Saccharomyces cerevisiae S288C: one gene and its partner. Each later gene encodes a partner of the first gene's protein in a complex. Each region holds a gene or a part of one and is shown in the gene's direction. Other genes may lie near its edges.

Evidence for each region. The genes of interacting proteins can lie anywhere in the genome.
Region 2: the proteins of RRP7 (region 1) and UTP22 are in contact, whole or in part, in a crystal structure (PDB 4M5D), measured with the Saccharomyces cerevisiae proteins. Residues at the interface, in NP_009899.1 of Saccharomyces cerevisiae: Ile3 (codon at 2,116), Ile6 (codon at 2,125), Ala8 (codon at 2,131), Met9 (codon at 2,134), Lys10 (codon at 2,137), Asn11 (codon at 2,140), Phe13 (codon at 2,146), Val15 (codon at 2,152), Leu20 (codon at 2,167), Pro21 (codon at 2,170), Asp22 (codon at 2,173), His23 (codon at 2,176), Ala25 (codon at 2,182), Leu26 (codon at 2,185), Ser33 (codon at 2,206), Leu34 (codon at 2,209), His35 (codon at 2,212), Phe36 (codon at 2,215), Phe38 (codon at 2,221), Phe54 (codon at 2,269), Val56 (codon at 2,275), Asn57 (codon at 2,278), Leu58 (codon at 2,281), Pro59 (codon at 2,284), Leu60 (codon at 2,287), Leu61 (codon at 2,290), Glu92 (codon at 2,383), Phe93 (codon at 2,386), Gly94 (codon at 2,389), Leu95 (codon at 2,392); in NP_011604.3 of Saccharomyces cerevisiae: Asp794, Glu795, Ile796, Thr797, Ser798, Lys801, Ala802, Thr804, Ala805, Leu808, Phe824, Phe825, Ser826, Arg827, Glu829, Tyr833, Asn834, Leu835, Glu836, Val838, Leu862, Tyr863, Arg865, Ala866, Asn869, Ala870, Leu874, Glu877, Leu878, Thr1104.

The regions. Positions count from the first base shown.
Region 1 is NC_001135.5:64,175-67,677, reverse strand, and holds RRP7 (Rrp7p), read left to right. Parts: upstream 1-2,109; coding exon 2,110-3,003; downstream 3,004-3,503. Other genes in the region: HIS4 (trifunctional histidinol dehydrogenase/phosphoribosyl-AMP cyclohydrolase/phosphoribosyl-ATP diphosphatase), read left to right, coding at 1-1,744; STE50 (Ste50p), read right to left, coding at 3,197-3,503. UniProt on the Saccharomyces cerevisiae protein: Plays an important role in the synthesis of 18S rRNA but is not required for the 5.8S and 25S pathway. Is necessary for the cleavage at site A2. Is required for efficient association of RPS27 with the pre-ribosomal particle.
Region 2 is NC_001139.9:660,268-664,024, forward strand, and holds the start of UTP22 (rRNA-processing protein UTP22), read left to right. Parts: upstream 1-2,090; coding exon 2,091-3,757. UniProt on the Saccharomyces cerevisiae protein: Involved in nucleolar processing of pre-18S ribosomal RNA and ribosome assembly.

The DNA.
Region 1 (3,503 bases):
GTTTATCGTTGAACAAGAAAACGTTGGATTTTGCCACTTGGAGACCATGTCTTGCTTTGGTGAATTCAAGCATGGTTTGGTGGGGCTAGAATCTTTACTAAAACAAAGGCTACAGGACGCTCCAGAGGAATCTTATACTAGAAGACTATTCAACGACTCTGCATTGTTAGATGCCAAGATCAAGGAAGAAGCTGAAGAACTGACTGAGGCAAAGGGTAAGAAGGAGCTTTCTTGGGAGGCTGCCGATTTGTTCTACTTTGCACTGGCCAAATTAGTGGCCAACGATGTTTCATTGAAGGACGTCGAGAATAATCTGAATATGAAGCATCTGAAGGTTACAAGACGGAAAGGTGATGCTAAGCCAAAGTTTGTTGGACAACCAAAGGCTGAAGAAGAAAAACTGACCGGTCCAATTCACTTGGACGTGGTGAAGGCTTCCGACAAAGTTGGTGTGCAGAAGGCTTTGAGCAGACCAATCCAAAAGACTTCTGAAATTATGCATTTAGTCAATCCGATCATCGAAAATGTTAGAGACAAAGGTAACTCTGCCCTTTTGGAGTACACAGAAAAGTTTGATGGTGTAAAATTATCCAATCCTGTTCTTAATGCTCCATTCCCAGAAGAATACTTTGAAGGTTTAACCGAGGAAATGAAGGAAGCTTTGGACCTTTCAATTGAAAACGTCCGCAAATTCCATGCTGCTCAATTGCCAACAGAGACTCTTGAAGTTGAAACCCAACCTGGTGTCTTGTGTTCCAGATTCCCTCGTCCTATTGAAAAAGTTGGTTTGTATATCCCTGGTGGCACTGCCATTTTACCAAGTACTGCATTAATGCTTGGTGTTCCAGCACAAGTTGCCCAATGTAAGGAGATTGTGTTTGCATCTCCACCAAGAAAATCTGATGGTAAAGTTTCACCCGAAGTTGTTTATGTCGCAGAAAAAGTTGGCGCTTCCAAGATTGTTCTAGCTGGTGGTGCCCAAGCCGTTGCTGCTATGGCTTACGGGACAGAAACTATTCCTAAAGTGGATAAGATCTTGGGTCCAGGTAATCAATTTGTGACTGCCGCCAAAATGTATGTTCAAAATGACACTCAAGCTCTATGTTCCATTGATATGCCAGCTGGCCCAAGTGAAGTTTTGGTTATTGCCGATGAAGATGCCGATGTGGATTTTGTTGCAAGTGATTTGCTATCGCAAGCTGAACACGGTATTGACTCCCAAGTTATCCTTGTTGGTGTTAACTTGAGCGAAAAGAAAATTCAAGAGATTCAAGATGCTGTCCACAATCAAGCTTTACAACTGCCACGTGTGGATATTGTTCGTAAATGTATTGCTCACAGTACGATCGTTCTTTGTGACGGTTACGAAGAAGCCCTTGAAATGTCCAACCAATATGCACCAGAACATTTGATTCTACAAATCGCCAATGCTAACGATTATGTTAAATTGGTTGACAATGCAGGGTCCGTATTTGTGGGTGCTTACACTCCAGAATCGTGCGGTGACTATTCAAGTGGTACTAACCATACATTACCAACCTATGGTTACGCTAGGCAGTACAGTGGTGCCAACACTGCAACCTTCCAAAAGTTTATCACTGCCCAAAACATTACCCCTGAAGGTTTAGAAAACATCGGTAGAGCTGTTATGTGCGTTGCCAAGAAGGAGGGTCTAGACGGTCACAGAAACGCTGTGAAAATCAGAATGAGTAAGCTTGGGTTGATCCCAAAGGATTTCCAGTAGATTATTTCTAACTTGGAAACCGAACACTAACGAAAATAATATGTATATATACATATATATATCAAACAAAATACAGTCTTGAATGAATAGAGATACACTATGTAATGAATGGTAACGTAAAAATTGTAATTTTGGATTAAAAGAGAGGTAGTAGCAAGAGTGGGTATCAAATAGCGATTAATAAATGAATATCCTTATTGTCATCACTTCGAACGACGTAAGTTAAATTGGAAAATTTTTCACTTTTTGGTCACCTAAGAAATAAGCAGGAAAAAGAAGAGAACATTGAGAGGATGGTAAAGCAAGAGGCATTTAGGGCGAACGAACTAGGTAACAGATAACAACCTCAGATAGAGTGTTACGGGATGGGTATTGAAGACATTAGCGCCATGAAGAACGGGTTTATAGTGGTGCCGTTCAAATTACCGGATCACAAGGCACTACCCAAAAGCCAGGAAGCTTCGTTGCATTTCATGTTTGCTAAAAGACACCAGAGTTCAAATTCCAACGAGTCTGACTGTTTGTTTTTGGTCAACCTTCCATTATTATCTAACATAGAGCACATGAAGAAATTTGTCGGGCAGCTCTGTGGGAAATACGATACAGTATCGCATGTAGAGGAACTACTATATAACGATGAATTTGGATTACATGAAGTAGATTTATCGGCATTGACCTCCGATCTGATGTCCTCCACTGACGTCAACGAGAAGAGATACACACCAAGAAACACGGCGCTATTAAAATTTGTTGATGCTGCAAGTATAAATAACTGCTGGAATGCTTTGAAAAAATACTCGAATTTGCATGCCAAACATCCAAATGAACTATTTGAATGGACATATACGACTCCATCATTCACAACTTTTGTTAACTTCTACAAACCACTGGATATTGATTATTTGAAAGAAGATATTCATACACATATGGCAATTTTTGAACAGCGTGAAGCTCAAGCACAAGAGGATGTTCAAAGTTCTATAGTGGATGAGGATGGATTCACATTAGTTGTAGGAAAGAACACCAAGTCATTGAATTCCATAAGAAAGAAAATATTAAACAAAAATCCATTATCCAAACATGAAAATAAGGCCAAGCCAATTTCAAATATAGATAAAAAGGCAAAGAAAGATTTCTATAGATTTCAGGTCAGAGAACGTAAAAAACAGGAGATCAATCAACTGTTAAGTAAATTTAAGGAAGATCAAGAAAGAATCAAGGTAATGAAAGCTAAGAGAAAATTCAATCCATACACTTAAACCACCATCCTCGTCATCATATTCAACATATCTCAATATATCTATAAAACTAATAATATAATATAACATAATATAGTATAATAGTATAAGTTTAAAGGCATCAATAATTTTTTTCTTTCATATATATTCTGCTAGCATACATGTTATCCTATTCGTGTAAGTTTAGTATGATGATGTGCATGACAACTGCACATTAGAGTCTTCCACCGGGGGTGACATTGTCACTTCCGTTCATCATTGCTACTTCTTCGAAATCACCTCTTCTTCTTAACATAATGGCGGGGTGCAAACCCTGTTGCTTTAAGTTCTTGAATATGATCACAGGCTTTTCGTTCAATTCTAACAGCCTCTCTTGATCCCCATAGCAAATGACCAAGACATATTGTCTCCAATCCTGATCTGCTAAGTTATGTCTTTTCATTGCGTTTTTCAAGATCCGTTCGCAGGAGTCTTCTTTAGATGCACGCAACTGTTTTAACGCCTCGTTAGGTGATGGCCCC
Region 2 (3,757 bases), on another chromosome or scaffold:
CGAAAACTAATATTCTATAATTTATACTAAGTTCATGGAAAGAATTGCAATGGATTGAGGTTTCTAACGAGGTTATCACTACCGCAAATATAGAGAGTAAGTTGGTAATATACAACAATAGAATTTAATCAATAACCAATCTCAACATTATTGTATCGTATTTTAACTTATAATTGTGCTCATATCAAGTTTTCTAGGTTACAATTACGACCAATTCTCAGGTTGTTTTGCAAAATTGGCGAAGAGATGGAGGCCTACCACATATTATCACGATTTGATAGGGATAATCTGAGTAACGATTAGTTATTGACGAATCCCTTTAATATAGTTTCCACACGAGAATAGGCGCCTACTAAAGAATTGATGAATCTGCTGGTAATTTCTAGGTTTCCATTATTCGGTAAAATATACGGAATGTATTAGGGGTTCTTCATGACGATCAAAGATCCATGAATGGAGATCGGTATTTTTAAGTAATAGTGCTACTATTTTTTTCCTTTTTGCATTCTGTCGTTCAATATCCTGTTACATTATTAATCTTAGTTTCGGATTCCACTGAAATCAATAACTATATCCCATGGCTTGGGCCTTAATTCTTGTGTCATATACAATAATATGCTAGTGCCGTGAACACTAGCCAATGAAGAAATGATCGTTTTCCAACACATACCGGACGTGGCTCTGATAGTGCTCGACGATGGAAATTTCAGCATGCATACTGATGTATGTCAAGATAACAACTACAGTCCTATCGTCGTGATTATAGGGAATCGACCGCGCCACTGCTATGACAACGGAAAGTTTATCCATGGCCTGCTGATTTTGATGCTGCTGTGGACACGAGAATACCAACACCTGTTCACATCTTCATGTGGATGAACGTAACGAAGTGGATATTTAGGCTCGGTAGCGAATCTTTTGCCGTACCTCCAAATTTATCTTGTATCGATTTTTCCGTCTAGTTGAAACTGTTATTATCCGCCCCTCCAATTTTCTGTAAAGCATAGGTGCTTCTTCAAAGTATCCAATGTATTTCTTAAGCTTATCAAGAAATAACATACTTCGAATACGTCCCAAGTTTTCTGATAACTTTATCATATTCTTTTGGCTAATTGGCGATCGTTTATATACCCCAGTGATTTTGGTTATAAATTTATAATATAGTTCAAACTATCCTTCCTTTAGAACAACTGTAAGCTTTAATTTTGAGCAAGCGCTACCATTTGATATATAGCAAACTAACCAAAATGCTAAGACATCTTCTAGTCTAAAAGTAACTCTTTTTCTGTGTATCTAATTCACATTGTGAATTTGAAAAGTACCCTTATTTGTATATATGTTGGTTTTGATGGTAGGTGACCTCACTTTTCTTTAGAAAATTTGCAATTATAGTTTTAGACAATCCCTTTATGTTTCATGTGCGTATTCATTATTTTTAACAAATTCCTAGTTCTCAAATCTGAGTCTCTTGGTAAAAATTTGCCTCCTTAGCTTAGTGGTAGAGCGTTGCACTTGTAATGCAAAGGTCGTTAGTTCAATTCTGACAGGTGGCATAATTTTATATATCTCTTTTTTTGCTTGTTGTACGGAAGTTCTGTCCATCCGGTGGGCGACCGGTATAGAATTATCGCGCCATCCATGAAGGTTGGCCCAGGGCCGAGTAAAGATTTAGGCAGGACCGGTGGTGGCCACTGCCTGGGAACGTCGGCCTACGGCTCGCTGCATGCCGTTGAAAAATTTCAATTGTAATTTGGAAAATTTAACCAAATGATAATTTCAATATGTACCACTAGCACTTTACGTCAAGAATCTCAAGCAAACCAAAGGGTTTTAATCTTATACTTTTCCATTCTATTTTTTAATAGAATTTAAATCGGCAGCTCTTATACTTGGAAACAGGACGTTTTCATTTTGCTTTTTTGAAGGCCAGATATTTGCTTTCACTTTAAGAACCAACTCCAAGAAATCTTCAAAGTTTCCTTTGTTAGATTTATCCTCTGATTGAATTATTGAAACCACAGGTATAATCACTTTGGGGTAGAACATTATAGTTTTCATAGAAATTTTACAAAGGATCTCCTTCATATACCATGGCTACAAGTGTTAAAAGAAAAGCATCTGAGACTTCTGACCAGAATATTGTTAAAGTGCAAAAGAAACATTCCACACAGGACAGCACAACTGACAACGGATCCAAAGAAAATGATCACAGTAGTCAAGCCATCAACGAGCGTACCGTGCCCGAGCAAGAAAACGACGAAAGCGATACTTCACCTGAAAGTAACGAGGTCGCTACTAACACTGCTGCGACTCGCCACAATGGAAAGGTTACTGCAACAGAGTCCTATGATATTCACATAGCTAGAGAAACGGCTGAATTATTCAAGTCTAATATTTTCAAGTTACAAATTGACGAATTACTGGAGCAAGTGAAGTTAAAACAAAAACATGTTCTGAAAGTCGAAAAATTTCTACACAAGTTATATGATATTCTCCAGGAAATTCCTGATTGGGAGGAAAAGTCATTAGCTGAAGTGGACTCCTTCTTCAAAAACAAGATTGTTTCTGTTCCATTTGTTGACCCCAAACCTATTCCTCAAAATACTAATTATAAATTCAATTACAAGAAACCAGACATCTCCTTAATTGGCTCCTTTGCTCTTAAAGCTGGAATTTATCAACCTAACGGCTCTTCCATTGATACTTTACTAACAATGCCAAAGGAGTTGTTCGAAAAAAAAGATTTCTTAAATTTCAGGTGCTTACACAAGAGGAGCGTTTATTTAGCATACCTAACCCACCACCTATTGATATTATTGAAAAAAGATAAATTAGACTCATTTTTGCAACTCGAGTATTCTTATTTTGATAATGATCCGCTTTTACCAATTTTAAGAATTAGTTGTTCCAAACCAACGGGTGATTCTCTTTCTGATTATAACTTTTACAAGACCAGATTCTCTATCAACTTGCTTATTGGTTTCCCATACAAAGTCTTTGAACCAAAAAAACTGTTACCCAATAGAAACTGTATTAGAATAGCACAAGAAAGCAAAGAGCAATCTTTACCAGCCACTCCTCTTTACAATTTTTCAGTGTTATCTTCTTCAACACATGAAAACTACCTGAAGTATTTATACAAGACGAAGAAACAAACAGAATCTTTTGTTGAAGCTACTGTTTTAGGTAGATTATGGCTGCAGCAACGTGGGTTTTCATCCAATATGTCGCATTCTGGTTCATTGGGTGGATTCGGTACTTTTGAATTTACTATCTTGATGGCAGCGTTATTAAACGGTGGTGGTATAAATAGTAACAAGATATTACTTCACGGGTTTTCATCATACCAATTGTTTAAAGGTGTAATAAAATACTTAGCCACTATGGATTTGTGCCACGACGGCCATTTACAATTTCATTCTAATCCAGAGAATTCCTCCAGTTCACCAGCTTCTAAATATATTGATGAGGGTTTCCAAACTCCAACCTTATTTGATAAGTCAACCAAGGTCAATATTCTTACAAAAATGACTGTTTCTTCTTATCAAATTTTGAAAGAATATGCCGGTGAAACATTGAGAATGCTAAACAACGTTGTTCAAGACCAATTCTCAAATATTTTTTTGACTAATATTAGCCGTTTTGACAATTTGAAGTACGATCTGTGTTACGATGTACAGTTACCTTTGGGTAAGTACAATAATTTAGAAACTTCTTTAGCTGCTACATTTGGGTCAATGGAAAGAGTAAAATTTAT